Linked DNA regions of Oryctolagus cuniculus. The protein of the gene in region 4 interacts with the protein of the main gene of each other region in a pairwise test. Links are inferred from orthologs where the notes say so. Each region holds a gene or a part of one and is shown on either strand. Other genes may lie near its edges. The genes, in order: RAD54B, CCNH, TRIM23, PSMA1, UBXN11, MKRN3 and PNMA1.

What was found.
Region 1: the proteins of PSMA1 (region 4) and RAD54B interact in a two-hybrid assay, tested with the Homo sapiens proteins (2 studies listed by BioGRID and IntAct). The two-hybrid records come from large-scale screens. The link is inferred for Oryctolagus cuniculus from reciprocal best matches to the Homo sapiens genes PSMA1 and RAD54B.
Region 2: the proteins of PSMA1 (region 4) and CCNH interact in binary tests that used the Homo sapiens proteins (3 or more experiments, as listed by UniProt). The two-hybrid records come from large-scale screens. The link is inferred for Oryctolagus cuniculus from reciprocal best matches to the Homo sapiens genes PSMA1 and CCNH.
Region 3: the proteins of PSMA1 (region 4) and TRIM23 interact in binary tests that used the Homo sapiens proteins (3 or more experiments, as listed by UniProt). The link is inferred for Oryctolagus cuniculus from reciprocal best matches to the Homo sapiens genes PSMA1 and TRIM23.
Region 5: the proteins of PSMA1 (region 4) and UBXN11 interact in binary tests that used the Homo sapiens proteins (3 or more experiments, as listed by UniProt). The two-hybrid records come from large-scale screens. The link is inferred for Oryctolagus cuniculus from reciprocal best matches to the Homo sapiens genes PSMA1 and UBXN11.
Region 6: the proteins of PSMA1 (region 4) and MKRN3 interact in binary tests that used the Homo sapiens proteins (3 or more experiments, as listed by UniProt). The two-hybrid records come from large-scale screens. The link is inferred for Oryctolagus cuniculus from reciprocal best matches to the Homo sapiens genes PSMA1 and MKRN3.
Region 7: the proteins of PSMA1 (region 4) and PNMA1 interact in binary tests that used the Homo sapiens proteins (3 or more experiments, as listed by UniProt). The two-hybrid records come from large-scale screens. The link is inferred for Oryctolagus cuniculus from reciprocal best matches to the Homo sapiens genes PSMA1 and PNMA1.

The regions. Positions count from the first base shown.
Region 1 is NC_091437.1:119,876,979-119,880,478, forward strand, and holds part of RAD54B (DNA repair and recombination protein RAD54B), read right to left. Parts: intron 1,489-3,500; 5' UTR 1,473-1,488; coding exon 1,338-1,472; intron 1-1,337. UniProt on the Homo sapiens protein: Involved in DNA repair and mitotic recombination. May play an active role in recombination processes in concert with other members of the RAD52 epistasis group.
Region 2 is NC_091445.1:10,326,788-10,331,017, forward strand, and holds the start of CCNH (cyclin-H), read right to left. Parts: upstream 2,801-4,230; 5' UTR 2,710-2,800; coding exon 2,593-2,709; intron 1,396-2,592; coding exon 1,273-1,395; intron 1-1,272. UniProt on the Homo sapiens protein: Regulates CDK7, the catalytic subunit of the CDK-activating kinase (CAK) enzymatic complex. CAK activates the cyclin-associated kinases CDK1, CDK2, CDK4 and CDK6 by threonine phosphorylation.
Region 3 is NC_091445.1:86,572,744-86,576,686, forward strand, and holds the start of TRIM23 (E3 ubiquitin-protein ligase TRIM23), read right to left. Parts: upstream 2,801-3,943; 5' UTR 2,588-2,800; coding exon 2,507-2,587; exon of another isoform or gene 2,075-2,506; coding exon of another isoform or gene 2,006-2,074; intron 1-2,005. Other genes in the region: TRAPPC13 (trafficking protein particle complex subunit 13), read left to right, coding at 3,288-3,333.
Region 4 is NC_091432.1:51,702,962-51,707,037, reverse strand, and holds the start of PSMA1 (proteasome subunit alpha type-1), read right to left. Parts: upstream 2,801-4,076; 5' UTR 2,407-2,800; coding exon 2,404-2,406; intron 2,262-2,403; exon of another isoform or gene 2,026-2,261; intron 1,268-2,025; coding exon 1,223-1,267; intron 956-1,222; coding exon 854-955; intron 739-853; coding exon 635-738; intron 1-634. UniProt on the Homo sapiens protein: Component of the 20S core proteasome complex involved in the proteolytic degradation of most intracellular proteins. This complex plays numerous essential roles within the cell by associating with different regulatory particles.
Region 5 is NC_091438.1:145,182,106-145,185,605, reverse strand, and holds part of UBXN11 (UBX domain-containing protein 11), read right to left. Parts: intron 3,430-3,500; coding exon of another isoform or gene 3,378-3,429; coding exon 3,323-3,377; intron 2,967-3,322; coding exon 2,890-2,966; intron 285-2,889; coding exon 158-284; intron 1-157. UniProt on the Homo sapiens protein: May be involved in the reorganization of actin cytoskeleton mediated by RND1, RND2 and RND3. Promotes RHOA activation mediated by GNA12 and GNA13.
Region 6 is NC_091443.1:13,380,112-13,384,353, reverse strand, and holds the start of MKRN3 (probable E3 ubiquitin-protein ligase makorin-3), read right to left. Parts: upstream 2,801-4,242; 5' UTR 2,680-2,800; coding exon 1,132-2,679; 3' UTR 1-1,131. UniProt on the Homo sapiens protein: E3 ubiquitin ligase catalyzing the covalent attachment of ubiquitin moieties onto substrate proteins.
Region 7 is NC_091451.1:19,888,785-19,892,874, forward strand, and holds the start of PNMA1 (paraneoplastic antigen Ma1), read right to left. Parts: upstream 2,801-4,090; 5' UTR 1,750-2,800; coding exon 688-1,749; 3' UTR 1-687.

The DNA.
Region 1 (3,500 bases), on a different chromosome or scaffold from region 4:
CACATTCCTTTCCAGAAGCTACATGTTTTTCCAAACTTCCACAAACCACCCACATGCCCTAGCTTGCGCCCCACCACCACCACCATCTTGAAAGCCAGCTGTATTGCATTTCTCTGCCCCTACTTCCATAATCACTTCCATAATCACATAATCTCTGACTCTCTTGACTCCTCCCACTTTTAAGGACACTTGAGATTATTTGGGGCCCAGTCAGATAATCCAGGACAACCTCCTCATCTCAACTGAGGTCTTTAAAATTAATCAATTCACTAAAATCCCTTCTGCTATGTAAGGTAACATATTCATATTCCTGGAATTAAAATATGAACCTTTTCAAAACATGTTTATTTACTTTCACCCACTTCAAAGACAGAGTGACAGAGAGATCTTCCATCTGCTGGTTTGTTTCCTAAACGCCTGCAACAGCCAGGACTAGGCCAGGCCAAAGCCAGGAGCTAGAAACTCCATCCAGGTCCCCCATGTGGGTGACAGGATTATAATCATCACAATAAATTTACTGTTAGCGGCTACATTTTCAAAAACCTCTGATAAGATTTCAAAGTAAGTCAACTAATGGAAGTCACAAATTTCATTTTTGCAACAGTTTTATTTTTTTTTACAGGCAGAGAGACAGGGCCGGCACCACGGCTCAATAGGCTAATCCTCCACCTAGCGGCGCCAGCACACCGGGTTCCAGTCCTGGTTAGGGCGCCGGATTCTGTCCCGGTTGCCCCTCTTCCAGGCCAGCTCTCTGCTGTGGCCCGGGAAGGCAGTGGAGGATGGCCCAAGTACTTGGGCCCTGCACCCCATGGGAGACCAGGAAAAGCACCTGGCTTCTGCCTTCGGATCAGCGCAATGCGCCAGCCGCAGCGCGCCAGCCGCGGCAGCCACTGGAGGGTGAACCAACGGCAAAGGAAGACCTTTCTCTCTGTCTCTCTCTCTCACTGTCCACTCTGCCTGTCAAAAAATAAAAAATAAAAAAAAATTTTAAAAAAGGCAGAGAGACAGGAGTTTAGCAGCACAGTAGTTAAGATGCCGCTTGGCACACCCACATCCTGCTTCAGAGTGCGGGGGTTCTGGTCCCAACTCCAACCTCAATTCTAGCTTCCAGCTATTGCGTATCCAGGGAAGCAACAGGTGATGGCTCAGGTAGTTGGGTCCCTGCTTCCCCTGTGAGAGACCTGGATTGAGTTCTTGGCTACTGAATTCAGCCTGGCCCAGCTGCAGCTGTTGCAGGCATTTTGGGAGTGAACCAGTGGATGGAAAATCTGTCTCTCTGCTTCTCAAATAAATAAAAATTTTTTAAATACAAGTTTCTCTGTATTATTTTTTTTTACCTTAAATAACTTTATATCTGGATTCAGTTTTATAATTTCTTCTTTTGGACTTGGATTACTTCTTCCTGGGGGTAAAAATTTTAGTCTTTTGAAGGAATTCCCCTGCAACTGACTTGGTGCTGCAGATCGTCTCATAGTCAATAGTACTGACCTGAAAAACAGCCAAAACAGAAATAATTCATGAGTCTGATTATGCACGCACTATCCAAACATTTTCACACTGCAATCAGACTGCTCTAATGTTCCCTCTGAGCTGTGTAAACAATCCACACCTGACCTCATATAAAGCTCATAGTCGAAAGGCAAGTGTTGGGGCTGGTAATCTGGCACAGAGATTAGACGCTACTTGAGACACCTGTATGCCATATCAGAGAGCCTGGGTTGGAGAGGCAGCACTTCATGGCTTAAGTACTGGGCTCCTGGCTGTGGCCTGGACCAGGCCCAGCTGTTTTAAGCACTTGGGAAATGAATCAGAAAACAGAAATATCTTTGTCTTTCTCTGCCTTTCAAATAAAATGAAAAGCAAAAATAAATTTTTAAATCTTAATTTTCTTTAAAAAGGCAATTACACTTAAAATATTGCATACAATTACCCTTAGGCTATGTGTATAAGGTATATACAAAACAAATGAATTCTGTGTTCTGACTTGGGTCCCATCCCTAAGATATTTCATTATATATACAAAATATTGCTAGTTATTTCAGATAAAGGATACTAATATTTCATTTATTATTATAGCAAACACATAGCTAGCACTTAGTGTTCGTCATATGAATGAATCTACAGCCATTAATGACAAATACACACTTTTTAAAAGAATGTTTAGGCTGGCGCCTTGGCTCACTAGGCTAATCCTCCGCCTGTGGCGCCGGCACACCAGGTTCTAGTCCTGGTCGGGGCGCCAGATTCTGTCCCGGTTGCCCCTCTTCCAGGCCAGCTCTTTGCTGTGGCCAGGGAGTGCAGTGGAGGGTGGCCCAAGTGCTTGGGCCCTGCACCCCATGGGAGACCAAGATAAGTACCTGGCTCCTGCCATCAGATCAGCGCAGTGCGCTGGCCGCAGCGCGCCACCTGCGGCAGCCATTGGAGGGTGAACCAACGGCAAAAGGAAGACCTTTCTCTCTGTCTCTCTCTCTCTCACTGTCCACTCTGCCTGTCAAAAAAAAAAAAAAAAAAAAAAAAAAAAAAAAAAAAGAATGTTTAGGGGCTGGGATTGTGGCACAACAGGTTAATCCAAGACCTGCAACTCCAGCATTCCAATGTGATAGCTAGTTCAAGTCCCTACAGCTCTGTTTTCCCTCCAACTCCTTGCTAATACACTTGGGAAAGCAGTGGAAGATGGCCCAAGTGCTCCCGCTGCTAAGTGGGAGACTGGATAGTTCAGGGAGTGAACCAGTGGATAGAAGATGTCTCTCTCTCTAACTCTGCCTTTCAAATAAATTTAAAAAAAAATTTTTTTTAATGGCATGAGAAGTGTTTTGGATGCAACAAATGAAAAACAGCCACATGTTCAGTTTCATTCCAACTTTTTAAAATAGAGTAAAAAAAGAAAATCAATAACATATGCATATATACTCTATTTTTTTTTTTTTAAGATTTATTTGAAAGGTAGAGTTAAAGGAGAGACAGAAAGAGATCTTTCATCCACTCATTCATCCCCTAAATGGCCACAATGGCCAAGGCTGTGCCAGGCAGAAGCCAGGAGCCAGGAGCTTCTTCCAGATCTCCCATGTGTGTACAGAGGCTTGGGCCATCTTCCGCTGCTTTCCCATGCACATTAGTAGGGAGCTGGATCAGAAGTGGAGAAGCTAGGACTAAAACCAGCACCCATATGAGATGCTGACACCACAGGCTGTGGCTTAATCCACTGTGCCACAGTGCTGGCCACACATACATACTTTTTTCTTTAAATTTTTTAAAAAATTGCCATCTGCAATGCCAACATCCCATAGCAAAGCAATGGTTCGAGTTCTAGCTGCTCCACTTCCAATGTTGCTCCCTGCTAATGCACCTGAGGAGACAGTGGAGGATGGCCCAACTACCTAGGGTCCCTTCCACCCACGTTGGAGACTCCAGTGGAGTTCTGGATGCCTGGCTTCTCCTGGATGAGGCACAGCCATTACAGCCTTTTGGGAAGTGAACCTAGAGATGGAAAATCTCTCTTT
Region 2 (4,230 bases), on a different chromosome or scaffold from region 4:
TAGGAGTATCAGTTCCCGTCCTGGCTGCTCTAATATATCTATGTGTGTGTGTATAAGATTTATTTATTTGAAAGGCAGAATTAGAGAAAGAGGGAGAGATGGGGATCTTACATCTTCTGGTTTACTCCCCAAATACCTGCAACAGCCGAAGCTGGGCCAAACCGAAGCCAGGAGTGTCTTCCAGGTCTCCCACATGGGTGCAAGGGCCCAAAGACTTGGGCCACCTTTTGTTGCTTTCCCAGGTACATTAGCCGGGACCTGGATCAGAAGTGGAGCAAACAGGATTTGAACTGGCACCCACATGGGATGCCGGCGACACAGGCGGTGGCTTTAACCCGATACACCACAACACTGGCCCCTGCTCTGCTTTCGATCTAGCTTCCTACTAATGCACTTGGTAAAGCAGCAGATGATGGTCCAAGTATTTGGGACCCTGCCACCCATGTGGGGGACCTGGGCAGAGTTTCTAGCTCCTGCCTTCAGCCTGCCCCAGCCCAGGTTATTGTGGGTATTTGTGGGGTGAACCAGTGGATGGAAGATCTTCTGCCTTCTGAATAAATAAATAAATCTTAAAAAAATCTTGTCAGGGCCGTTGTTGTGGCTTAGCAGGTAAAAGCTGCTACCAGCAATGCTGGAATCTTATTCTGACCCGGCTCCTGGCTGATGACTTGCGAAAAGCAGTGGAGGATGATCCAAGTGGGTCCCGATTACCCATGTGCAAGACTTGTATGAAGCTTCTGGCTTTGGCCTGGTCCAACCTAGGCCACTGGGGCCATCTGGGGAGTGAAGCAGCGGATGGACATCTCTGCCTGTCTCTCCAAGTCTGCCTTTCCAACAAATAAATCTTAAAAACCAATCTGTGGCATGAATTTCAGCTGCAGCATATGATTACAACTGATAAATGAACACAGTATTTCAAACAGGTACCTTTGAAAAAGCACTGGTCTGCGTTCTGGTTCCAGTTCTACTGTTCACTAGTGAACAACTGGAAAGCAATTTGATTTTTTATTCTTCTATTGAATGAGCTGTCACTGCCTGTCTACTAGACCTCTAGGCTCTTTTGACTATGAAATGTGACTAAGAAATACTTTGCAAGACACAATACAGTAATTCATAATTTTTGGCCTTTATTGAAAAATATACAGCAAAAACTGAACAATTAAAACCAAGGTAAATTTTTGAGCAGTCAACAGAAAATTTATTAGATTTCAAAGAGGTCAGATTTCATAAGTCACTAAAAGGACATTAAACTCCAAAGCCACCATAACTTACCACAACAGACCTTGGCATTGTTGGCTTAAACACGGAACAGAATTCCAGTAATCTTTTCTCATAGTATTTGCAGAGTGTCATTTCTTCGTGAGGCTCAAGAAACACTGGATCATTTGGAAGAACCTTTTGATCAAAAATCAGAGCACAGGTTCAGTGAATTAAATACCGTCAAAGCCTTCTCTTACTACATTTAGCTTTCCTCTCGAACAAACACAAATACACCACGCCTCATTTTCTCTTTAGACTCGCTCATCATAAACAAAACAGCTTCAGGAAAACATGTCAGAGTGTATGTGGTCATTTCAATGCCTCAGACTGTCAGCTGAACTTCATGAAGCCAAGTCCGTGCATACGTATGCTAACAGATCTGATGCCATCGATTATAAATCGAAAAGCACACGGTCTTCCAGTGGTTGGCAAACTTCCAGCATCTCTCTGTCCGTCAACCATCATGTCACACAGCTGCGACAGGAAACAGTAAGCACCTTCACTACTTCTGCTGTTGTAAGCTACCCAGTCCTGGGCACTTTATTTTAAAAGTAGCGCTCGATCGTTAGCACAGGTGCAACACAGTGATAGCAAACACACGTGAGTTAGAGCAGCTCAGTACCAACAGGTCTGGCGCATGGGACCCTTGCTGGAGTGAGGCGTGTGCTGGGTGGGTGGGGGGTGGGGTAGGGGTGGAGCTGACGGATTAAAGCCGGCGGGGACCCCTAACGGAAGGGATGTGGCTATGGGGCCGTGGGCAGTCTTCAACTGGCTGGGCTCAGGGTCTCCTCTCTGCCTCGCCTGACGCGCTCCCCTCCAGGCTGCCTGAGATCGCCTTCCAGAACCAAGATCCCAGAAAGTTAATTTCCCGCTGGAATTTCTGCAAGGTTTCCCGCCTTTTCAGTACAGATTCCAAGTCCCTCGCCTGCCCTCCCCAGCCCCTGCGACCACCCCTCCCCCCCTCCGCAGCAGCAGCCACACACCTCGCACCGCCCGGCAACTTCTCGCCGCCCACTTTTCACCCGCGCGATCTCCCGCACCCTGCACCCGGGGGAAAAGCCTTCCCCGCCATCCCCTCGGGGCGAGTGGAAGGCGCCCGCCCGCGCGCTCTCAGCGTGCTACGAGCACTAGTTACTCGTCTGCCTCCCGACGCGGGGACTGCGCTGGCTCGACTCGGACCCCGGCAAGGCGCCCGCCCACTTGTCCAACACCCGCACGCACACCCGCGCCGCCGAGGCAGAGGCCGCGGGGGGCGCCCGGGGAGCTCCCGCCGCCGACCAGGCTGAGAGCCGCGCACCGCACCGGCCCCTCGCCCCTCGAGGGGAATCTCACCTTCCCGTTCGCCACCGCTTTGCATTTGAATTTGCGGTTGGCGTCGGCCCGCAGTCGGCCCAGCTGCTCCTCACTGGCGAAAGTCCAGTGCCTTTTCTGGCTGCTGTTGTGGTACATGGCGAAGTCCGAGCCCGAGCGCGGCGGGATCGCGGAAGCCGAGAGTGCGCCAGGCCGGCGGCGCGCGCGCTGACGTCACGATCACGTGCCGAGCCCTGCGCGGAGCAACCTGGGAGGGCGGGATGCGGCGCGGCTCCTGCGACGCACGTGGGCGGGGCCGCGGGCTTTCCCGCCCCCTCGGGTCAGGGAGCTGGGGACTGCGCGTTGGCCCTTGTAGCCGGTGCTTAAGGAAGCCTGGTCCGAGGGCACCCGAAGGGGACGAGGCGTGAGGGGAGGAGTAGGCTGAGGGAGATTCCCGAGGGAGGGTGACCGTGTTGAAGGGGAAGGTGTTTGAGGAGAGGCGGGGCACCGCCGAGGGAGCCGCGAAGTCGGCAGCCATCTTGCGTCCTTGAGGCCTGCAGCGGAGGCGTTCGTGGGTGTTTGGCGGGAGAGCCGAGGACACCAGTGTCCTGGGAGCCCTGTCACCATCCGAGAGCAGAACAGGGCTGGCCGACCGGAGCAGTGCACGTGGGACGCTGCCGTCTTGCCACTAGTGGGGCCTCGTCTGTCCGCCTCCCCTGCCTTCCTGTGGGTAACGCTTGCGCCCGCTTCCAGTTCCTCTCGGGAGCCGGGAGTCCTGGTGGTTGCGGGGTTCTCCTGAGATTCTCATCTTCGTAAAGGACTCTGGGGAGTCTTAACGATAACTACCGTCACAGAGGTTTACAGCTTCCAAAATTGCACTTGAGGTACAAAATCCGTATTAGTTAAGTCTTTGCCAGTTCTGTTTGTCGCATTTAAGGAAACCTAGTTCTGTGTATCAAAGCCCCCAGGAAAATTTCATCCAAAAATCAGATGATGATGACGAGACACGGAGTTTAGGTCTTGAAACGTCCACAGGGGTGAAAGCAGGTGGAAGATGACTTTACTCTGCTTTCTATGAAAATGTCTTACAAATTTAAGAAAGGGGGAGCCCCCCCCCTTTTTGGTGCAGTTGTGGTTTGCTACGGTTTTAGAATTCCTTAAATTTTATCATTTGTGGTTGATCATTTTGGAGATCCGTGCCATCGAACATGTGTCCGTAGTCTAGACCAGTGCATTGCTAAAAAGTAGGGAAGAGGGAAGAAGACGTGATGATGCTGAAGAGGACATGGCGGTCTGAGTCCAATGCACTATGGACAACTAAGAGCTGGTGGAGATGGAGAAAGAAGAACTTACAAGGAAGAAAGAAAAAGGTACAAAAGGCAGGCAGGGAGAGAAGTAATCCAGATAAGTAGAGTATGTGTGTGCAATCTTGGGTTTGTGGCAGTTCTGTGCATCATTTCAGTGGCTTTTGTTCTTCTGTGAGCTATTTGACAACTCCTTCGTTTTAAATAGAAGCAGCTACAAACGGGCATTTGGCAGAGTTGGCAGACTATGATTTCCACAGGGATCTAAGTCAAATTGTTGAGTGTCATGGTTCATTTAGGAAGATAAATATGAAAAACCTGGTGTTCCTGGTCTATTTTTTAAACCTTAAACAAATCGTAGTCTAAGAAAATTAAC
Region 3 (3,943 bases), on a different chromosome or scaffold from region 4:
CATCGTTTTAAAAAGGAAGACAAAAGCTCCACTTCATCAAATTTAATACAGAAAAGATATTCACAATAGAATTAGGCAGTATAAAATAAATCTAAGATTTTAATAAATGCTCTCATTATTGAATACTGCATGTTAAATTTATTTCTGACAATAACCTCAAAAGAATAAAATTAAAACTTTGCTTGGGGTCGGCACTGTGGCGCAGCAGGTTAAAGCCCTGGCCCGCAGCATCAGCATCCATATGGGTGCCAGGTTGAGTCCCAGGTGCTCCACTTCTGATCCAGCTCTCTGCTGTGGCCTGGGAAAGCAGTAGAAGATGGCCCAAGTCCTTGGGGCACTGCACCCATGTGGGAGACTTGGAAGAGGCTCCTGGCTCCTGGCTTCAGATCAGCTTAGCTCTGGCCATTGTGGTCATCTGGGGAGTGAACCAGCAGATGGAAGACCTCTCTCTCTCTCTCTGGCTCTACCTCTCTCTGTAACTCTGTCTTTCAAATAAAGTAAATCTTTAAAAAAAAAAAAAAAAACTTTCTTAGTTCATTCACACTTATACTTCTGACCCATCACTAAACAAGGTAACTTGCTCATGTTGTTACTATAGGTTTTTTTTTTTTTTTCAAAAACCATTAGCATAATTCCATTTAGTAAGCCAACCACAGGTCCAAAAATTATTCAGGTATCAACTTAGTAGATAGTCTTTCCTCAGTATCTATGAACAGTTATTGAAGAGAACAGTGTAAGAAATTAAATCCTAGATGGGGGGTGGTAAATTTCATACTTCACAAGAAAATTTCAACTTATTACATGTAAATCGAATTTGAACAAACCAGATCATACTTTAAAAGGACTATAAGAAAGCTTAGGAAACAAAAGAAACTTTGCAATTAATTTTAAAATGTAAATAATTTTGCAATATCAGATTTTGTTTTTCCTAACAATAAAAACCCTGCCATTATCAACTTGGTCACTAAACAAGACAGCATTTTACAAAGCATTAGCATTATAAATGTCAACTTTCACTTTCTGATGAATTTCTTCTTTCATCAAAAAGGACTATCTTATTGCACAGTTCAGAATATTTTACATGTTAAAATAAAAATGAACATGCTAAAAATGCTTCTAATATATCAAATTCTGTAACAAATTCTGCATCACATTTTGGTACTTTTTTTCAGATTATAAAGCAAACAAGGTAACAGAAATGTAAACGATACTCCAATTATGGAATTAAACTTCAAGTCAATTCACAAATAATCTTCAGGTATTCTCTATTTATCAAAAGCACAATTCAATAAATAAAATCTCACCCATACAACATGCCTAATAATGAGGGCTCCTCTGTATCTCAGATATGCTGCTCTATATATTCAGAATAACTTAATTACTACATAAAGGTCAGCTGAATCAACAAGCAATAATAATGACTAAGTTGTGGGCAGAAATGTGTCACTTGCTGTTATATAAAACCAACATTAGGTGAGAAAACATAAGTGCCTACTAATAAGCAAAAGGTCAAAAGAACTTCAGATATTATCTAGTTCAACAATTCTCAGCCCTGGTTGTACATCAAAGTCACTCTGGGACTGAAATATGTGTAGAAACGCCAACCTAATAACCGCAGAAGTGCGCCATTCCTCCACAAAAGGCCTCGGTGACCCTGACATGCAGTCAGGAACGAGAATTACTAATTGCTTATAGTATTACCAATTGCTTATAGTATTACCAATTGCTTATAACATTGACAATCCCGAAGGTTGGCATGAACCATTCAGATCAGTTCTCTCTGTCAAATCCTCCGATATTTTCAGAGCACAGGGAAAATGAGTGCCATGTGTTTCAACTGACTTTTCGGTAAGTGCATTTTTGGAGCATTATACATGGTAGCATCCCAACCTTCCAGCATAGGGCCATTCAGGCACCCCAGAGTTAAGATTCAACTGTACTGCCATTGGAGACTTCTCAACCATGTCGACAGGCTGTACGGCTAAGCGGGAAAGGCGCAGCTCACCAGTAACAGACGTCTAATCACAGAAGCTGCGCCGTAGTGGACGCCGCAGGCGTTAAAGTCGCACACCATGTTAACCGAAACCTGGGTTTCCTTCCTGCAAAACGAGAGCTAGCATCCACCTCATGAGTAGATGCCAACCAGCTAAAACCCCTAACACAGTACCTGGAGGCTATAATGGCTCAATTCTACAAAACCAAGCGAGTTAACGCCTCCTAGGCTCAACTAAGATAGAGGGGCTACAGAAAGAGCGGTCCGGGCCACTCCCACAGGCCCACAGCTCCCTCTCACAAACGTCCCCGCTGTGCATGCTGGCATCTGCAGGATTAGACCCGGCAACTTCGGGCCCGGGGATCCAGGTCGCGGACGGAGGGACGCCAAGACCTGCCTGCCAGGCACACAGGGACGCCGCGGCCGCGCCTGGGCCCCAGGGATGCCGCCCAAGTCTCCCGGATGAGCCGGAGGACGGCCGAAGCGGGGAGCGCAGTCCGCAGAGTCCCTCACCTTCACCACGGCCGTCCCCCGGCTGCCTTGCCGGCCACTGTCCGGCCCAGCTCCAGGCTTGTTTACCACCAGAGCAGCCATCCCGGGCAGAGCAGCGGCGCAGGAGCAGCCCTCGGAGCCTTCACCTGGGAGGCGGGGTCGAGCCACCTACCCAGAGGCCTCCGCGCACGCCGCTGGCGCACAGGCCCAGTACGACGCGGCCCCGCCTCCCGTCAGCGGCTCCGCCTCCCGTCAGCCTCGGCTGGGTTGGAGGCACAGTCCTGCTCGTGTTGTTTTTGTTCCTAAGAAGCCTGCAACTGCTGAAAGAAAAAAGTCAAAGGAAAAAAATGGATAACACATAATTAAAGTTTAAAGGTGAAATTCCCGGCCCGGTTATGAGTTCGGCTCTCTAATGGCAAACTAGCCAAGGCGGATACTACATCTCCCTTCATGCAACGCGACTTTTGCTTGCACTACAAATCCCGGCATGCCACGTTCTCGCCCTTTTTTTAATCTCTAAGAGGCCGCGTATCGTTACAGTGGTTGCTTCCAGTCGCAATGTGTGATCGTAGACGGAAAACGCCGTATTTTCTGTGCAGATCTCCAAGAGCCAAAGGATGGCTTTGGTGAAAAGAAGCCGTTGGGTCCGTAAAGGACGCAGTGAAAGGAGAATTTAAGGTACAAAGAAGCTGTTGGGAGGACGTTTGACGCCTGTTCTGCCCGACGTACGCTTTTTTTCCCTTCCGGGCCAAGTTGAACCTCTTCAGCCCCCGTAGGCCTGGAGTCAGACGTGCCGGTCAAAATGGAAGTGAATCCCCCCAAACAGGAGCACCTGCTGGCGCTGAAAGGTAAATGTGTGCCGAGGTACCGTTGTTCTGTCTTATTCCCTTCTCTCGCAGTTTCCCGAAGGCCGTTGCCACACAGACGCGACCTCTGTGACAGGGGCCAGGCCTCAAAACACTCGGTGCCCGCCGCCCCGCGCTGCGTCCGGCGCGAGCAGGAGGAGGCGACTTGGCCTCTTCGCGTTTCGCTTTCAGAGCTGCTTTCTGGAACGAAACAGACACCTGGTCGTTCTCCCTGACCTGTGCTGCTGCAGTCACCAGATGTTTGGATGCAGAGCCGAGGCCGCGCCCCTACTGGGGAGACCTCTGCGAACCGGGGTGCATTAAAGCAAACATCCGAAATGGCTTTTCCTTCCGTCTCTCGTCTCTTAGTGGGCACTGGGAAGTTACCAGGTTTCAGGTTTATCTGGGGTGTTAGCACTGCGTAGCAACTGTGCGAAGGATTTAGCAATACATAGCCCTGCCACGCGTAACGTAGATTTGTTAAAATGTACGGCTGACCGTCACCGCATTGGGTTCCTAATCTTAACCGCAGATCGCAAATATTTGAGTCAGATTATGTCTGTGCTGAAGGTGTGCAAGCTTTTCCTCCTATCAGTATTTTCTGAACCGGTAT
Region 4 (4,076 bases):
AAAATGATACAAAAGTGTCAAGTGTTTCTTAGACATAACAGAGTCTCAAACAACACATGTTACTTTAAGTTATCACATTATTTGATGACTTCTCAAGTCTTAGTACCAGTATGTTGAATTCTATTAGTTACTATTACAAGAACCAGGATATGGAATATTCAGAAACTAACCCAATCCATTAAGATAGTCATAATATTAACTTATAAACATTCTGGCAGACAACTTCCCAACATAGTTTACCTCAGTCTTTTCATGATAAGTAAACAATTATGAGTCAGGGGCCAGTGCTGTGGTGCAGTGAGTTAAGGCCCTGGCCTGCAGTGCTGGCATCCCATATGGGCACTGGTTCAAGTTCTGGCTGCCCCACTTCCAGTCCAGCTCTCTGCTATGGCCTGGGAAAGCAGCAGACAATGGCCCAGGTCCTTGGGCCCCTACACCCATGTGGGAGAAGCTCCTGGATCCTGGCTTCAGATTGGCTCAGCTCTGGCTGTTGTGTCCATTTGACTAGTGAACCAACAGATGGAAGACTTCTCTTTTTGTCTCTACCTCTCTCTGTAACTCTTTCAGATAAATAAAATAAATCTTTAAAAAATATTATGAATCAGAGATGTTTGTTTTTCAAAATCATACTCACCATAACAGCCTAGCATCAGCAGTAAGCCCCGCAATTGAAATACCAATATGGTTGTCAACATGGAGAATTTTTTTCTGATGAGCTGCAAGCTCTGACTGTGCCCTCTAAATAGACATCATAAAAGATAAAAATAAGTTTAAAACTTTACTGCCTACACAGTGAAATTTTCATTTGATAATTTTGCTTTCTAAAGGAAGATATATTTATTGCTTTATTTACCTTCAATGCAACCAACACTGCATGGGTTTTTGATTTCAGACCAACTGTGGCTGAACCTTGCTTAACAGCTTCCATTGCATATTCAATTTGATGAATCCTGCCCTAAAGGGAAAAAAAACACATGTCTTAGAGTCACCTTAGAAGAGTTTCACAAATTAAGAATTAAGAGTCCTCAAACCTCAAGAGCACTGTTAAATCTCAAATGACTTTTTTTAAAACCAGAAAATGTATTGAATTATAAATTTAAGTTATGGGAGTGTCTAAAATGAATATATCCCATTTTCTCACAGTCTACAATCACACAACCTTCTAAACATATTGCAGCCATGAAAAAGCTCTTGAATGGAATAGTATGAAACATTATCTTACCTGAGGACTCCAAACAGTGACATCATTGTCATACTGGTTACGAAACTGAAAGTAAAAAAAAAGATCAAATTATTGTCAGAACCCTCCTCTTAATATTAAGAAATGTGTGATTTCATTACACATTAAAGTAACTGTTAAGGCAAACTCACTGGAAGATTACTACTATACTCAGTGGCAAGCCAAGTCTACAATTTCTATGAGCTGGGGAGGAAGGAACAGCTCTAAATGGGTCTCATCTTTCCAACTTTCTACCCAGCCACTCTCCATAGCGCTCCCTTTGGGTTCAACTATTGAAGTTTATATGCATCAAACTTTTTCTTTAAATGAGCTCAAATGTCTATCTCTTGAATTCTTCTCCCAAAACCCTCACAGCACGAAGTCCCACAGCTCTGTACACATCCTTTTCTATCTTAAAATTAAGGTTAGGGATATGTCTGATTATCTTTGAGCCTCCCCTGTACTTGCACTTTTGTACACATAAAATTTTTCTTTGTTACTTTGGGCTAGATACGAATAACTACGATACACTACTGTTTTAGACAATCTTCAAAAAGGCCTTTCACTACTTGGCAGAACAATCACAGGGGAGAGCGGACTGAACGCTGGACTCTTTGGCGTGGGACTTGAAGCCCACAGAACTACATTATAATCCTGAGTCCATCATTTCCCCTTTCAGGATAAGTTCACTCATTTGCAATCAGGTGACTGGACAAAGTGAAAGAGACCTTTTCTGATCGCGCCCTAGGGGGCTGATAAGTCGGACGGACCCACCAAGGAAAGGGACGCGATCTAAGGACACACACCCTGGGTCTAGACCGCCCCGGCGGTACAAGGCCGCCTCCGAGTCAAGTCCCGTCTCTCTATCGTCCAGAGCACGAGGGATCGTTTTGGACCTCTGGGAATCTACTCCGGTGAGGGAACTCGAGAGGCGGACTCGACCACTTCATCGAGGCCTTGAGAATAGCGAAATGCGCCGTGAGGAAAAGGCTGCACCGGCTACCGACCGCAGCTCGCCAGGCCAGGCCGGAGATGCTGAATCACTGCCGGAGCCCTCCCGCAGACTGGGGTTCCCATGCCCCGTGGCCTCGGGCCGCTCTAAGAACGGCAGGAGAATTGGTTCGCCATCCCCAAGTCACTGGGACCTCTGCCCTAAACCTTCGAAGGATCGGGACCCAACGCACCATGGTTCCGTCGCCGGCCTGGCTGCAGGACTCCTAGCGAAGGTGCGGAGTAAGGAACGCAGCCGAAACTACCGCTCGGCGATCTACAGAAAAGGCTGCGGGGTTTTGACGGCGGCAGCGCAGGGTAGATCAGTCTATTCCGGAGCTATCGATAGGTTTCCAGCGCTTCCTCGCGCCCTCCTGCGTGGGCGGGGCCCTGGGAGAAGGAGGAACTGAGATTGGCGGGAAACGTAGGCCCCGGAGTGCAGGCAGTGGCTAAACAGCAGCTCGTAGCCCGTCCTGGAGTCTCAGGTTCATCGTCCTCAGAGATTTGAGCTGTGTGTGTCTGAGAAGAACGAGGCTTCAGGAAAGGCCACAGAATAACGCCTGTTTATGTGTGTCAGCCATACTCTTCCTCGAGTATCTTGCTGGTGTGCGTTCTTTGCTTTGCACTTATGAATCCTCTGCCTTCCTTAAATCTCTTCTTCGAAGACCCTGATACCAGCAGCCCTTCATTTTTTATCACTGTTGTTTTCCTCCTCCGGACTTTGAACTACTGTCTTTCCATGCCCTCAGAACCAAGCAGACACCCGATAGATTAGATTAGGCCGCTGAGAATAAAAGGACTTTTTCTTCTGAATTATCTATTTTCTTTTCGAAAGGATCTTCTGGCAAATCCCCAAATGAACTAGTTTGAGACAGCTCTGAGCATAGCTGCCAATAACACCTACCAACTGGTAATTCTCTTTTTAAAGAAGAGGTGAGTGCCTAGATTAAGGTGACATTGGAGCTGAAAGCATCCCTTCGGGATGAGAGTTTTGCATGTACAAGAACTGGCTCAGGTGGTGTGGTCAGGTTCGCAGCAGTGTAGAATCACACTGTTTAGAAACCTTTGCATGTATGTGTTTGAACGCTTTCTTGTCTTCAACATTTTGCAGGTCAAACAAAGATGCCCTGGTATTCTGCATTCTGAACATATATTTACCCAGATCCCTATTGTTTGATATTTAGGTCCTTCCAAATAACTCACGAACTGTTTCCTATATATGTTTAACATCCATATTCTTTTCTTTTGAGTCAGTTCTAGGAAATGGAATTACAGGTTCAAATGAAATGTATAATTTTAAGGCTTTTCATGAAAAGAGCTAAATTGGCTTTTAGAAAAGTTTTACTGTTAGGTCCTCAACTGTAGTATATGGGGTTGCCCCCCTCAAATTTGCAACAATGGTTATTGTCATTTTTAAAGTAACAGATTAAATTAATAGTTCATCTTTTTGATGTACACATTCCTAGCATGTATGAAGTGCTTAATAAATATTGGCGAAGGGAATAAAGAATGTTGAATGAGTGACTAAATGCCCATTTAAAAATTGTCATGTAACATATTTATGGTTATGTGTTGCATACAAATCTGTCAGTTCTTTTACATATAAAATTATATTAAACTATTTTTAATACTATTAAAAAGTTATAGCCATTTTGTTTTCATAAATATTTCTGAAATATTTATGAAATGTCTATTATATTTTCAGTAGTTGTATAGTGTTCTATTGTGTGGAAATGAGATAATTTACCTTACTATTGGTGAGCAATTAGATTCTTTCCAAATTTTTGCTATTATAAAAATACCATAATGATGATTATACATTATTTGGTGTACTTTCCTGATTACCTCCTTATGATGAATTCATAGA
Region 5 (3,500 bases), on a different chromosome or scaffold from region 4:
GGGGCCTCGGGGGCCCTTGCAGAAGAGCAAGGTGCGTCTTGGTCAGTGATGAAGGCTGAGGCCTTTCCCGCGTGCTGTGTCAGGGGTCCCTCGGGGCATGCTGGGAGCCGCTGGAGGATCCCCCTTGAGGGCGTCTGGGGCACAGCCTCTAGGCTACCTGGCTTCCAGAACTTCTTGGCTGTCATCCAGGCCTTCCCGCCATCTTCTGAGGCTATGTTACCCTCGGAGTCCTCCTGGTCCATGGGCTCGCCCACCCAGTGCAGCCCATAGTCGCTGAGGAACCGCTGTGGGGAAAGGAGGTGATGCTGGGGACACTGCCAGCTCAGTCCCTTCCCAGGGCACGAGTGGCCTTGGCTCCGTCCCCAGGCTCAGCCCCAGAGCTGACAGAACAAGGGGATGGGCTGAGACCGTGGCTGCTTCCTGGCTGTGACCTTGGAAAGCCTTTTACCTCCTGGAGCCTCAGGAGATCACAGCACCTAGTTCACATCCAGCGCTGAGCAGGAAAGCCGGCCGCTGTGGCTGTGGGCAGCCATGCGGGTCAGCCTGAGCGTGAGGGGCTGGGGACACCCTGGCTCTGAGGACGGGACCAGCCACACGCCGGCCTCCCCAGGGCCTGGCCTCCCTCCCCTCTGCCACAGAACTTCAATCGTCTACACCTCCTGTTGCCAATTCCTTTTCTCCCCTTCTTTCCTCAACCCACAATTCACTGAAGCTGCTCATGGTGCAGCCACCAACCACCTGCCCATTGCCAAACCCAGCGGGCGCACCTCTGTCCTCATCTCTTTCAACAGCGGCTGGGCTTCCTCCCGCCTGGCTGCTCCTTGGCCAGCCCCTGCTGCTTCCCCATTTCCACCCGACAGCGACAGCGACACTGCAGGTCCACAGCACTCCCTTATGACTTTTTTTTTTTTTTTTTTTTTTTTTTTTTAGGATTTATTATGTATTTGACAGGCAGAGAATCTTCCATCTGCTGGCTCACTCCCCAAGTGGCCACAACGGCCAGGACTGGGCTGGGCTAAAGCCAGGAGCCAGGAGCTCCATCTGGGTCACGCATGTGGGTGGCAGGGGCCCCAGTACTTAGGCCAGCTTCCTCTGCCTTCCCAGGAGCATTAGCAGGCAGCTGGCTCAGAAGTGGAGCAGCCAGGGCTTGAACCAGCGCTCCAGTACGGGATGCTGGCACTGCAAGCGGCAGCTTAACCTGCTGCACCACAAAGCAGATCCCAGCCTGAATTCCACACTCCCGTCTCCAACCACATAGACTCTAATGCCTGCCATGCAACTCGCAATCACTGAACAGTCACGGCTCCCGCCCCCATGCCCTGGACCTCCTGGTCCTGTCTCAGTGACGCCCCCTCCACCCAGGCATCATCCAGCACCCGCTCCCCTCTCTGCCACCACACCCGGATGCCCCTCAAGGCCTGTGGCTGCCATCTCCCAAGCAGCCTCAGAACGACCCCTCTTGCCCCATGCGCTGCCTCCCAGCTCAGACCACGGCCACTGTCACGCTCCTGGACAACCAGGAGACGGCTTCTACCTGTGTCCCCGTCGTCACGCAGTAGGAGGGTCCTCCCCTCATGTCGCTCTGACACCCCCAGTGGTCTCCCATTCCCTCCCAGTGGAATCCACGCGCACCACGGGCAGCGAGTCCTGCGTGATGGGGCCACTCCGGCCTCTGGTCTCCTGCTGCCCATGACCAGCAACCGCTATCAGCCAAGTGTACCCGGCAGAAGGGGAGGCTTTCGTGTCTCTGGCCTGGGTCCTCTGCCCCTGGTTGCCCCTCATCCCCCAGATCTCATGGCCAAGGTCACCTCCACAGTGGTTCGTCCCCATCCGTCTCCAGTGTGTCACACACGGGATTATCTTATAGCACTCCCTGTCTCTGTGTCTCTTTCATGTACTTGTTAATGTCTCGTCCCCTCCACGCTGTCAGCCCCTTGAGGGTGGGGACCATGTCTGTCTTGTTCAGATTTCCAACCAGGCACTAGAACAGGCACTGCAGGGTGCTGCCCCCAGCGGGTTCTGCTAAGCACCTGCTTCGTGAGAGCCAGTGATGCCCTCCCACCAGGGGCTCTGGGGTACAGCCTCTCAGCCCCTGCAGCAGAGGCTCGGAGCAGCCTGGGGGGTGGGGGCAGCTGTGTTTACCCACAGCCCCAGGGACCAACAGGCCTGGAGCGACAGGTGCTCCCAGCTGCAGCTGAGGCTCTGGGGTTGGCCTCTGTGGCCCTGGATTCCACTGGGGTTTTAGGAACCCACTCTGTGCTCGGAGAGGAAGGCTGGCTCCTGCCAGGGCAGGGTGGGAATGCCTGGGACGTGTGTGTACCTGGGACACGTCTTTGCTCCTGGCCCCTCCAGTTCAAGCTTTGGAGTCTGAATGGGTGTGTGCGTGGGAGGAAGAAGTCACAGGCAGAGATAGGGGATGGCCTTGATGAGTCTCCGGGGATTGGGATCGGGAGGGAGGTGGCCCGCCCCGGAGTTCACAGTCCACGGCAGAGAAGGGAGGTACTGAGAAAGCACAGGACAGGGCTGGGGCAGGAAGGAAAAACACTGCAGGCCAGGGAACAGCAATGGGCCAGGGTCCCGAGGCGGGACAGACTGGGCGTGTTCAAAGAATCAGCAGGGGCCAGGGAGGCCCTTGGCGTTGAGCCCAGCCGGGAGCCCCGAGGCCAAGGAGGCAAGCGGGGTGTGCTTAGGGCGGTTCAGACTCACAGGGTGAGCCCTGGACACTTGTGGCTCTGTGAACTCGGGGTTAATTCACGGGGCAGGGCCCCCAGGGGGAGGCTTGGTGTGGAGGGGCCCAGAGAAGTAGGTGCTGGCCCCGTCCCAAGGGGCAGACAGCCTGGAGCTGGGGCTGCGGGCTGCGGACTGCTGCGTCCCCGGGCCCGCCCTCACCTCCATCTCCCCGACCTGCCGCTGCAGCTGCGCGCACATCGTCTCCAGCTCCTCCTGCCGCTGCTGGGAGGCCTCGCCTTTGGTGGGGAGATGGGGATGGGGTCTGGCTGTTCCAGCTTCCAGGCCACCTCTGCCCTGAGGGCCATCTGGGGCCCTGAGGAACCACCTGCAGGGGACCCCCTCTATCTCTGCCCTCTCTCCCCGCTCCCCTGAGGGCACCCTGCCTCGCCCCTCAGTGCTGTGGCTCCACCACGCTCTGGGTAGTGCAGCTACCTTCAGGGCACTCTGACTCCAGCTGTCGGCGCCGAGCTCTGGCTCAGCTCTCCAGACCCACCAGGGAGTAGCTTGCTGCTCACCACCTACGCTCCCACCCAGGGGCACAGGGCCAAGGGAGGTCCCGACCGGGGGATCAGCCCCCAGGAGGGCCTCTTACCTTGGTGCTGCTGGAGGGTCTTCACCAAGTCCTCCAGGGCCAGTATCTTCTGATCCTGCAGCAGCGAGGCCTAGGGTGAGCGCAAGGCCCGGCGCTTCCCCAGCCGCCTTCCGGGTAGGAAGATGCAGAGGTTGTGCCTGTGGGGGGGCCCTGGGGAGCACAAAGGTCCTGCCTCTGC
Region 6 (4,242 bases), on a different chromosome or scaffold from region 4:
ATTCTTTTATCTTTCCAATCTTATATCCTAACTAGTTTTAGTATTTTATTCTATTTTACATGTTGTATGCTTATTACCTTTATTTTGATAAATTTATGAAAAGCCCGTTTTCAAAGTATAAAAATAATATTTAAAAAATGAAAATGAACAACTGTATGTCTGAGCTCAGGATTTTATGTTATAATGAATGAGCTGTTGGCTCTACTGCATGGAAGTACACATTTCTGTATTTATAACAGCACAGTGAGGTCATAGGAATTACCAATGTCATGTTTCATATATCCTTTAAGACTTGTATCTGTTACACTTGGCATTACACTTGAACAACAGTTTTCATTAGGTGCTAAAAAGTGACATCTGTGCAAGGGAAAGATTATTCACACAGCAGCCAAGCCTGCTATCCCTTGACCTCAGCTTTCATCTCTGCATTTATTTTATTATGCAAACATATACATCACGATGTATATTTTATATAAATTTTCCAATACAGAGCTAATATACACAAATATGCATATATAATATATCACTTTTAAGCACATACTTCCAAATATAAATAAAATAACTTCACATCAAGTTGAACAGGATAAAAACATGTAAACATTTGCACCTGGTTTTGTTCAAGTAAAACACGAAATCACAAAGTAACCACAAGTTAACAAGTGCACTTTAAGAGATGCCAGAAGGAGCAGTGATGTAAACAAACAAAAACAAGCAAGGCCCTGCGAGTGTCCACTTCTTAAGGCTACTGTAGCAAAAAGCTTCCAGTTAAGACTTCCCTTTCACCCTGTCACATTTGTTCTTGAGGGACTTCAAAATGAGTGTAGAAATTCTGTAAACACTAGACTAGGACTGAGTGAACTTTGTTGAAAAACAGACATGACAAAAACCCCACAAAGCAACAGTCATATTAGCTCCACCAAACAGTAACTTTAAGGATTCTTTACTATTTTTTAACACATGAAACCACCATTACCCTAGGGGAAAGATTCGGGGCATAGACAAGAAAACAGAGAAACACTGCATAAAAGTCGCCACCACAGCCCCTGAAAGTGACAGGCATGTCAATAAAGGGAAAACAGCCAACAGCAGACGACAAAGCCCCAGCAGACTTGATCAGAGTGTGGCAGGATACTACAGATTCAAGTTGAAATACTCTTCCAGCTGATAATGAAGCAAGTCCCACTGCTCCTCAGAGAAGGGGAACTCGTTTCTCAGTGAAAGAAACCGCTTAAACAACAGACTGGCCAGCCGAAGCGTGACAAGCTCCTTTTTACTGCTTTTAAAGAGCAGGCTGCCCTCTCCCAGCTGCACAGGCTGCGAAAGTTGATGCCAGTATGCGGCCGACGGTCCACCACCCCGCCCCTGAGGCTCCTCTCCCTGGCCCTCAGGGTATGAATGCTTGTAAAAGCAGTGCTCTCCAAACGGGCAGTGGCCCCTGCCTTCGGCAAAATATCTGCAAGGCTTGTTGCTCAACGCCTCCTTGTACTGCTGAATAAGTCTCTGCTTCTCTTCCTCCTCCTCCACCCAGAACTCACTGGGAATGACAAAGTTGGAGGTGACTCTGCACTGTGGGCAGGACTTGACGATCCTGTTCTCAAAGTGTCTGGCACGTCTCCACCTACGGATACACTTAAGACAGAAGGGGTGGTTGCAGTTGGAAAGGATGCCAAAGCGGCGGTCGCTGGGGTTGACTTTGTCATAGACAACCTCCATGCAGATGCCACACACCTTATCCATACTGCGCTGCACGGCAAACGAGAGCTCCATATCCTTCTCGTGTGCTTCGACGCAGGCCTTTCTATGGTCTGCCCTCTGAGCGGCATCCAAGGGGTGCAAGGCCTGTAGCCCACACATGTCACATATCTCTCCGTGGAGGTACATACAGCTCTCCCCACGAAAGCACTGTCCCCTGGCAGCGTGAGGGCAAAGTTGCATCCCCATGCCCACAGCCATCTGCTGCCCCATGCCCACAGCCATCTGCTCTCTCTCAGTCACCGAGCTCTGTAGAGGAGCCTCGGGGACAGAAGCGACCCTGCGGCCCCGGTAGGGCTGCCCGGGAACAAACTCAACGGCCTCTTCCCAGCCTTCTACACCTGATCCTCCGACAGCCCCTTGACCAGCGCATTCCAACTCGGCTTCGAAGCGACCCCTTTCAGCAGCCGAGCCAATCAGAGGCAAGGAGCTTGAGGATGCAGCAGGGGCGGCTTCCGCCACTTCCTGAGTTGGGGGCTGGCTGGGCGCAGCCATGCTGGGGCCTCTGTCTGCAGAGGCCCGGGGCGGTGCGCCATGGCCCTCTCGGGCCACCTGCCTGCCAGAAAGGTCGTGAGAGTAGCGACAGTTCTCCCCCTCCTTGCACAGCCCATGCAGATAATACCTGCAGACGACTTGCTTTGTCCAGCTGCCAGTGCTCCGGCTCGGCAGGTGACTGGGCCTGGCCCCTCCCCTTGCGGCCTGGACGTGCCTCAGGCCCACCATCCGCAGATGGGCTGGGCTGGGAGCCACACGGAGAGGGACTAGGCCCAAGGCCGCGCGAGCAGGGGCTGTGTCTGGAGCCACAGATTCCCCAGAGGTCTCACACTCAGGGAGGCTGGGCCCAGATGCACCCTCCCCTGCTGCCTCAGCCCCTGCCTGGGCCCCAGATGCCTCCTGGGCACCAGAGGGAGCTGCAGGCTCTTCCATGGCAGCTTCTTCTCCCAGAAACGATTCGGGAACTTCCCCGGTGCTGTCTCCTTTTGGGCTTGAGCCCTGGAGCTCGGGACGGTCACGGAGGTGTCTTTGGGGGAAGTGTGCACCTTTTTTTCCTTTCCCCCACTCTCTGTTCCCTGTGACTGTGTGTTCCTACCTTCTTTCCCCTGCAGGCAGCGTGGCGGACACTTCCTGTGGTGGCACCGGCAGCGCGCGGCGCCGGGTCTCCACGGCCGACCAATCTGACAGCTCCTTTGTTCACACAGGCAAAGGCGGGCTCCGCGCCCCCTCCTCTGGCGTCGCTCCCTGCTCTGCTGCTTTCCCGCAGACCCCAAGCCCCCCTCCCACACTGTCTCCTCTGGCAGATGAGGTTTTAATTCCATGTCTTTAGTTTCTGCCATGCACTTCTGATTATTTGTCAAACGTGTCTGCGTAAAGAAAGTTCACGATCCTCGCTGCTTCTCCACGTGCTGATGGGCTAATCCTGCAGTTTCTGAAGCATGCCCTGCGTGGATTTTACACCGCCTTTGTCTGCGCACCGCGCATTGTCTCCACTGTGGTGTCCCGCTGCCCCCTGGCTGCCCCTGCGGGGGCTTTGTGCGCTGCGCGGCGGCCACCAGACATCGTTTCTTGGGGTCTTTGTTTGCTGCAGGGTCTGCCTGGGCTGCTGGAGGAAACGCGAGCAGGGAGCACGTGTGGCTGAGGCTGTCAGCCCCGGCCGAGGGCGTCCTTTGTGGGACTTGCAAGGCTCCTGCCCCCGGCGCGACCCGGCTTTTCTTCCCGGCTGGTTTAATTCTTGGTGGCCTTTGTTCCCTCCGCCCAGCGAGCGAGGCTGAGGCTGCGGGGTCAGCACAGCTTTTCAGGCTCGGCCGCTGCCCTGACGGTGAGAGCTGCTTTCTTCCCTTTCCTTTCACAGTCACTGTCTTTGTGCTGCTGCTTTGCTCAGGGGCGCGCGGCTGTCTGCTGAATGTTACAGGAGAGCTCTCTGCGTTTCTAAGGAGGTTATGCTCCCTCTCCCTTTAATGCCCTGAATGTGATCATTAGCACTTCCAGCATTTCAAACATTTGATTTATTCTTTGTCTCATAATTAATCCTTCCGTGTTAGGATGTGCTGACGAATTGTATTTGCTAGAATAAGTTTCTTAGAGGGAAATTTTTATAACTTAAATTTCCATTCTAAAGTGAAAAAGTCTGAATATTTATGACACATTTATCCATGTCATCAAATTAAATCCTAATTAAGTAAATATAAATTTGTACCAAATTACTTGAGAAAAAACGAACAAAGTTCGAATAACCCAGACTAGAAATTTTTAAAGTGATATCACTAATTAACAAAAGACATTAAAAAAATCATGAAAGGATATCAGGAACAAGATTAAGTCATTCTTTTAAATTTATTAGATATGGGCATATGTCTAGAACATATCAATAAAAATAAGAAAAGCATAAGAAATATGCATATAAATCTATAAATTACACATGGAATCATATAATCCTCTAATTTAAAGCTTTTAAAATATTTCCTCCAAAAATATAAAGGCATTAGAGCTTAT
Region 7 (4,090 bases), on a different chromosome or scaffold from region 4:
GTTCAAATGTAGAACATTTAAAATCTGGGTGAACAAGAACTATTTTGACAAGGACTGGAAGGGGAGTGGGGGGATGGGTGGGTCACTGTCACCGGGTCCTAGCCATCTCCCCAGGTGGTTTCTCTGCGCGACCTCTGATCAGCACAGCTCCGGAACTGCAGTCCTTTTCCAGCGCCCCAGCTGGAGTCTCAGAACACTCTGTTCCACAGATCCGGCTCTTTAAAGATGAGCACTAAGAGATTTGCACTGTGAGGCTGAGCAGTATTACCTAAACAATGCACGTTTCTTTCCATTAATATAAACATGGAATGATTTACAGTCAACACACACTAGCCTCGACGCTGATAACAATGTGATGGTTCACGGTTCCTGCGAGCCAGGCCCTGGGCTAAACATCTGCACGTGCGACTTCACATTTATCTCCATGGGAAGAGTCACGGGTTCACACTTGTCACAGCCGAGGGTGCCGGCATGTCGACAGCGGGCGCCGCAGCCAGCAAGCCCATCGGCATTGTAGCAGCTCCCCATGCTCTGTGCAGTGTCGGCGGAGTTACAGGAACGGGCAGGCCAGAACCCCCTCCCTCCAAGAAAAACACAACGAAAACAGCAGGCAGCTAGGCCTTTACTACTCGGGACCAGGACAGCAGCTGCGGGCCGGGTCTGCACGGCAGCCCTCTTTCCTGGGGCTCAGAAGTGCCCCTCCAGGCCCAACTGCAGGAGCGCGGCCTCAGCCTCCTCCTCCTCCTCCTTGGCCTCCTCCTCACGGATCTGCACCAGCAGCTGGAAGAGGTTCGGGGCCGGCCCTTCCGCAGCGCCGGTCAGCCAGAGCTGCCTTCGGAGGGTCCCGCTGTGGTTGGCCCCGGCGATGACCTGCTCCAGGCGGGCCTGGTTCACGTTCTCTTTATCAATGGCCCCCTTCTCCACCACCTTCTGCAGCAGCGGCTCCAGACGAATGACGTAAGCCGACAACTTCTCTCCCGGGTTCTGGTACGTGTTCAGAAACCTGACCTGCGCATCCCTAGAGCTCTCCACGCTCCCGAACACCTGCTCCAGCGCCTTCAGGCACTCGCCGGTGGTGATCGCGGGGTTGCTGGTCTTGAGGATGCGGATGACGTCGGCGGCGGGGCCCCGGAGGCTCTCCATCAGCCGCCGCCTCTTTTCTGTGTCGGACACCTGCCACTCCTCTATGACTTCATTAGCGTGCTCCAGCCAGCAGTCAAAGCTCTCCTCCCCAGGCCCCGGGATGTCCCTCCCCGAGAACAGCGTCAGCTTCTTGTACCATATGGACTCCACGAGAGGCTGAATAACATTATCCAAAATATAGCTGAGCATCTCGGCTGGCATTTCGGGGCCCGGGGCCGGGGCCGGGTTCTGAAACCCAAGGACGCGGGCAACATCTTGCACGGTCCACCCCTCCCGAGCTAGGAAGAGGTGCAGCCTTTCTAAAAATTCAGCGTCAGACGTGGGGGGCTTAAAAAGCACTTTCCACACCCCTCCTTTGCCAGGCATCTCCCTGGGGATCGCGGCGTAATCCACAGCGCCAGTGAGCTCTAATAAGGCTGCTTTCGCGTTCTCTTCCCTCCAGAACATTCTCCCAAGCACTCGATACGGCACCTGGGGCATCGCAGCCTGGAGGGTCTCTTCGATTTCAGCCTCATCACAGTTCACTAGGATCCCCCAAACCAGCAGCGCTCTCTGGGAGTTCACGTCCATGCCCCTGCACCAATCTTCCAACAGCGTCATCGCCATGTTCCCAACTATCAAAGGTACCGATTCGACAGATACGGATCAGACTGCGGCTCCCCGAACTCCAACCAACACCAGACACTCCCCGCAAGCAGGCGCGCGGGCGGCAGGTCCCCGCGGTCGCTGGTAACAAGCGACACCCAAGCCCCGCTGTCCGTCTGCGGCTCCCCGGCGCGGCCTCGCAGGGGCTCAGTCAGTCACGCGGCTGTCGCCATCTCGCGTCCCGGGTCGGGGTCTGCGGCCCCAGAGTGCAGCCTGCGGGAGCCGCGGGGCCCGGGAGCGCCGGGGTGTGGCCGCGGGGCGTGGCCGCCGCTCCCGGAGTCGCCCCGGCGCTGGCGGTCCGAGCCCGGCCCTCAGCGGGGCGAGGAGCGGCAGCCCGAAGGAGCGCTCGGCGTGCCGGGCCCGGCGGGAGAGGCTGTCCGAGGTCACCGCGGCGGCAGCCGGGCCAGCCGGCGAGCAGCGGCTTCTTCTCGGGCGCGGGGACCCCTCCGGACAGCGAGGACCGCTGAAAACCGAGGGCTGAGGGGAGCAAAGACGCAGGAAGGATGCAGAAGCGAGGCGGGAGGCGAAGGCTGGTGGGGCCGGCCGGGCTCGCGTGGCGCGACGGGCTGCGGCGGCTGTGGCGCAGCTCGGCAGCCGGCGCGTTCCCGCCGCAGTGCAGGGCGGGGCCGGCCCGCGAGCCGCGGCCGCCGCACCGGATCCAGGTCGCCGGCGAGGCGCGCGCGCGTGACCATGGCAACGGTGTCCCGGACGACGCGCTCCCGAAGACTCCGTGCGCAGCGGCGCGGGGTGGGGGGAGCGGTTGCCATGGTACCGCAGCCATCAGATGTTCCAGACTTTTACAATGAAAAAAAAAATACCAATAAGCATCGAGGGCTTCTGTCTTCTAATCCGGAGCGGATTTCAGATACTAGTGGGTATCACCCGTGGTGGCTGACTTGCTCATGCAACTGGCGCATCAAGCCAGGTGCGTGGACGGCATCTCATCCAGAGGAAACGAAGGCTCCCAAGTATCCCACTTGTGTGACACACAGACTGGACACTTCCTCTTATCTTTTTTTTTTTTCTAATTTTTTTTTTTTTTTGACAGGCAGAGTGGACAGTGAGAGAGAGAGACAGAGAGAAAGGTCTTCCTTTGCCGTTGGTTCACCCTCCAATGGCCGGTGCGCTGCGGCCGGCGCACCGCGCTGATCCGATGGCAGGAGCCAGGAGCCAGGTGCTTTTCCTGGTCTCCCATGGGGTGCAGGGCCCAAGCACCTGGGCCATCCTCCACTGCACTCCCTGGCCACAGCAGAGAGCTGGCCTGGAAGAGGGGCAACCGGGACAGAATCCGGCGCCCCAACCGGGACTAGAACCCGGTGTGCCGGCGCCGCTAGGCGGAGGATTAGCCTAGTGAGCCGCGGCGCCGGCCACTTCCTCTTATCTAACACTTAGTCAAAAGGCCGGCCACCTACCTACCTACAGCTGGCAACGCACCAGTATTCTGTAATCCCTGCCTCGGGTACTCTTCAAGCCAGAGCAAGGGCCGCTTCGGTCAATCTCAGAGGATGAAAATCCCCCAAAAGAACACAGCATCCAACTCTGAATTTTTAAAACCTTATTTAATGAAAGGTTTAAAGATACAGAAGAACATTCAAAAGTAAATAAGTTACATAGGTACATTACAATCACATCAGCAAGATTCTCTTTAGTGTATTAATTTTTATATAAAAAGCACACAAAAAATAAAATCTTCCATCTGCTCTATCACAACTGTACAGCCAAAGAGGTAATATTTATATATTTATATATATGTACACCATTTTCATATGTAACAGTCTTTTTTAAAAAAGGTTGCCACAGGCAGCAAACACACAAAAGGCAGTGTCTGATCATCTGTTTCAAAATAAAAGGAATATACTTCTTTATATGCTATTAAAATATTTGTACAATAATTACAGACTGTCAAGGCTGTCCCCTCCTACAAGGCCTTCAACTTGGAGACAAATGAGTAAAAGGTGAAACAGAAACAGCTGCAAATCGTTAGAGGCAAACAGTAACACAGCAAAATGGGGGGGGGAGGACACTTGTTTTATAAAAATATGCACACTTCCTGTAAACCTAAAGGAGTCAGGCTTGCCAGTCTAGTAATAAATACTGTCCAGAAAAGCGGGCCCCCGTGGAGAGGGTGCTAAACAGCCGAGGCTTCGGGATGTGTTGTGTTCCTTCTTCATCTAGGCATCTGGCACATGAGAGATCAGGTCACTGAGGCAGTTAAGTATGGGCAGTTCCTTTGGCCGTGAGCAGCACGAGACCTCCGTGCCTGGGCGGAGGTGCGGCGGCAGAGGGGCGAGTGTGTGCCTCA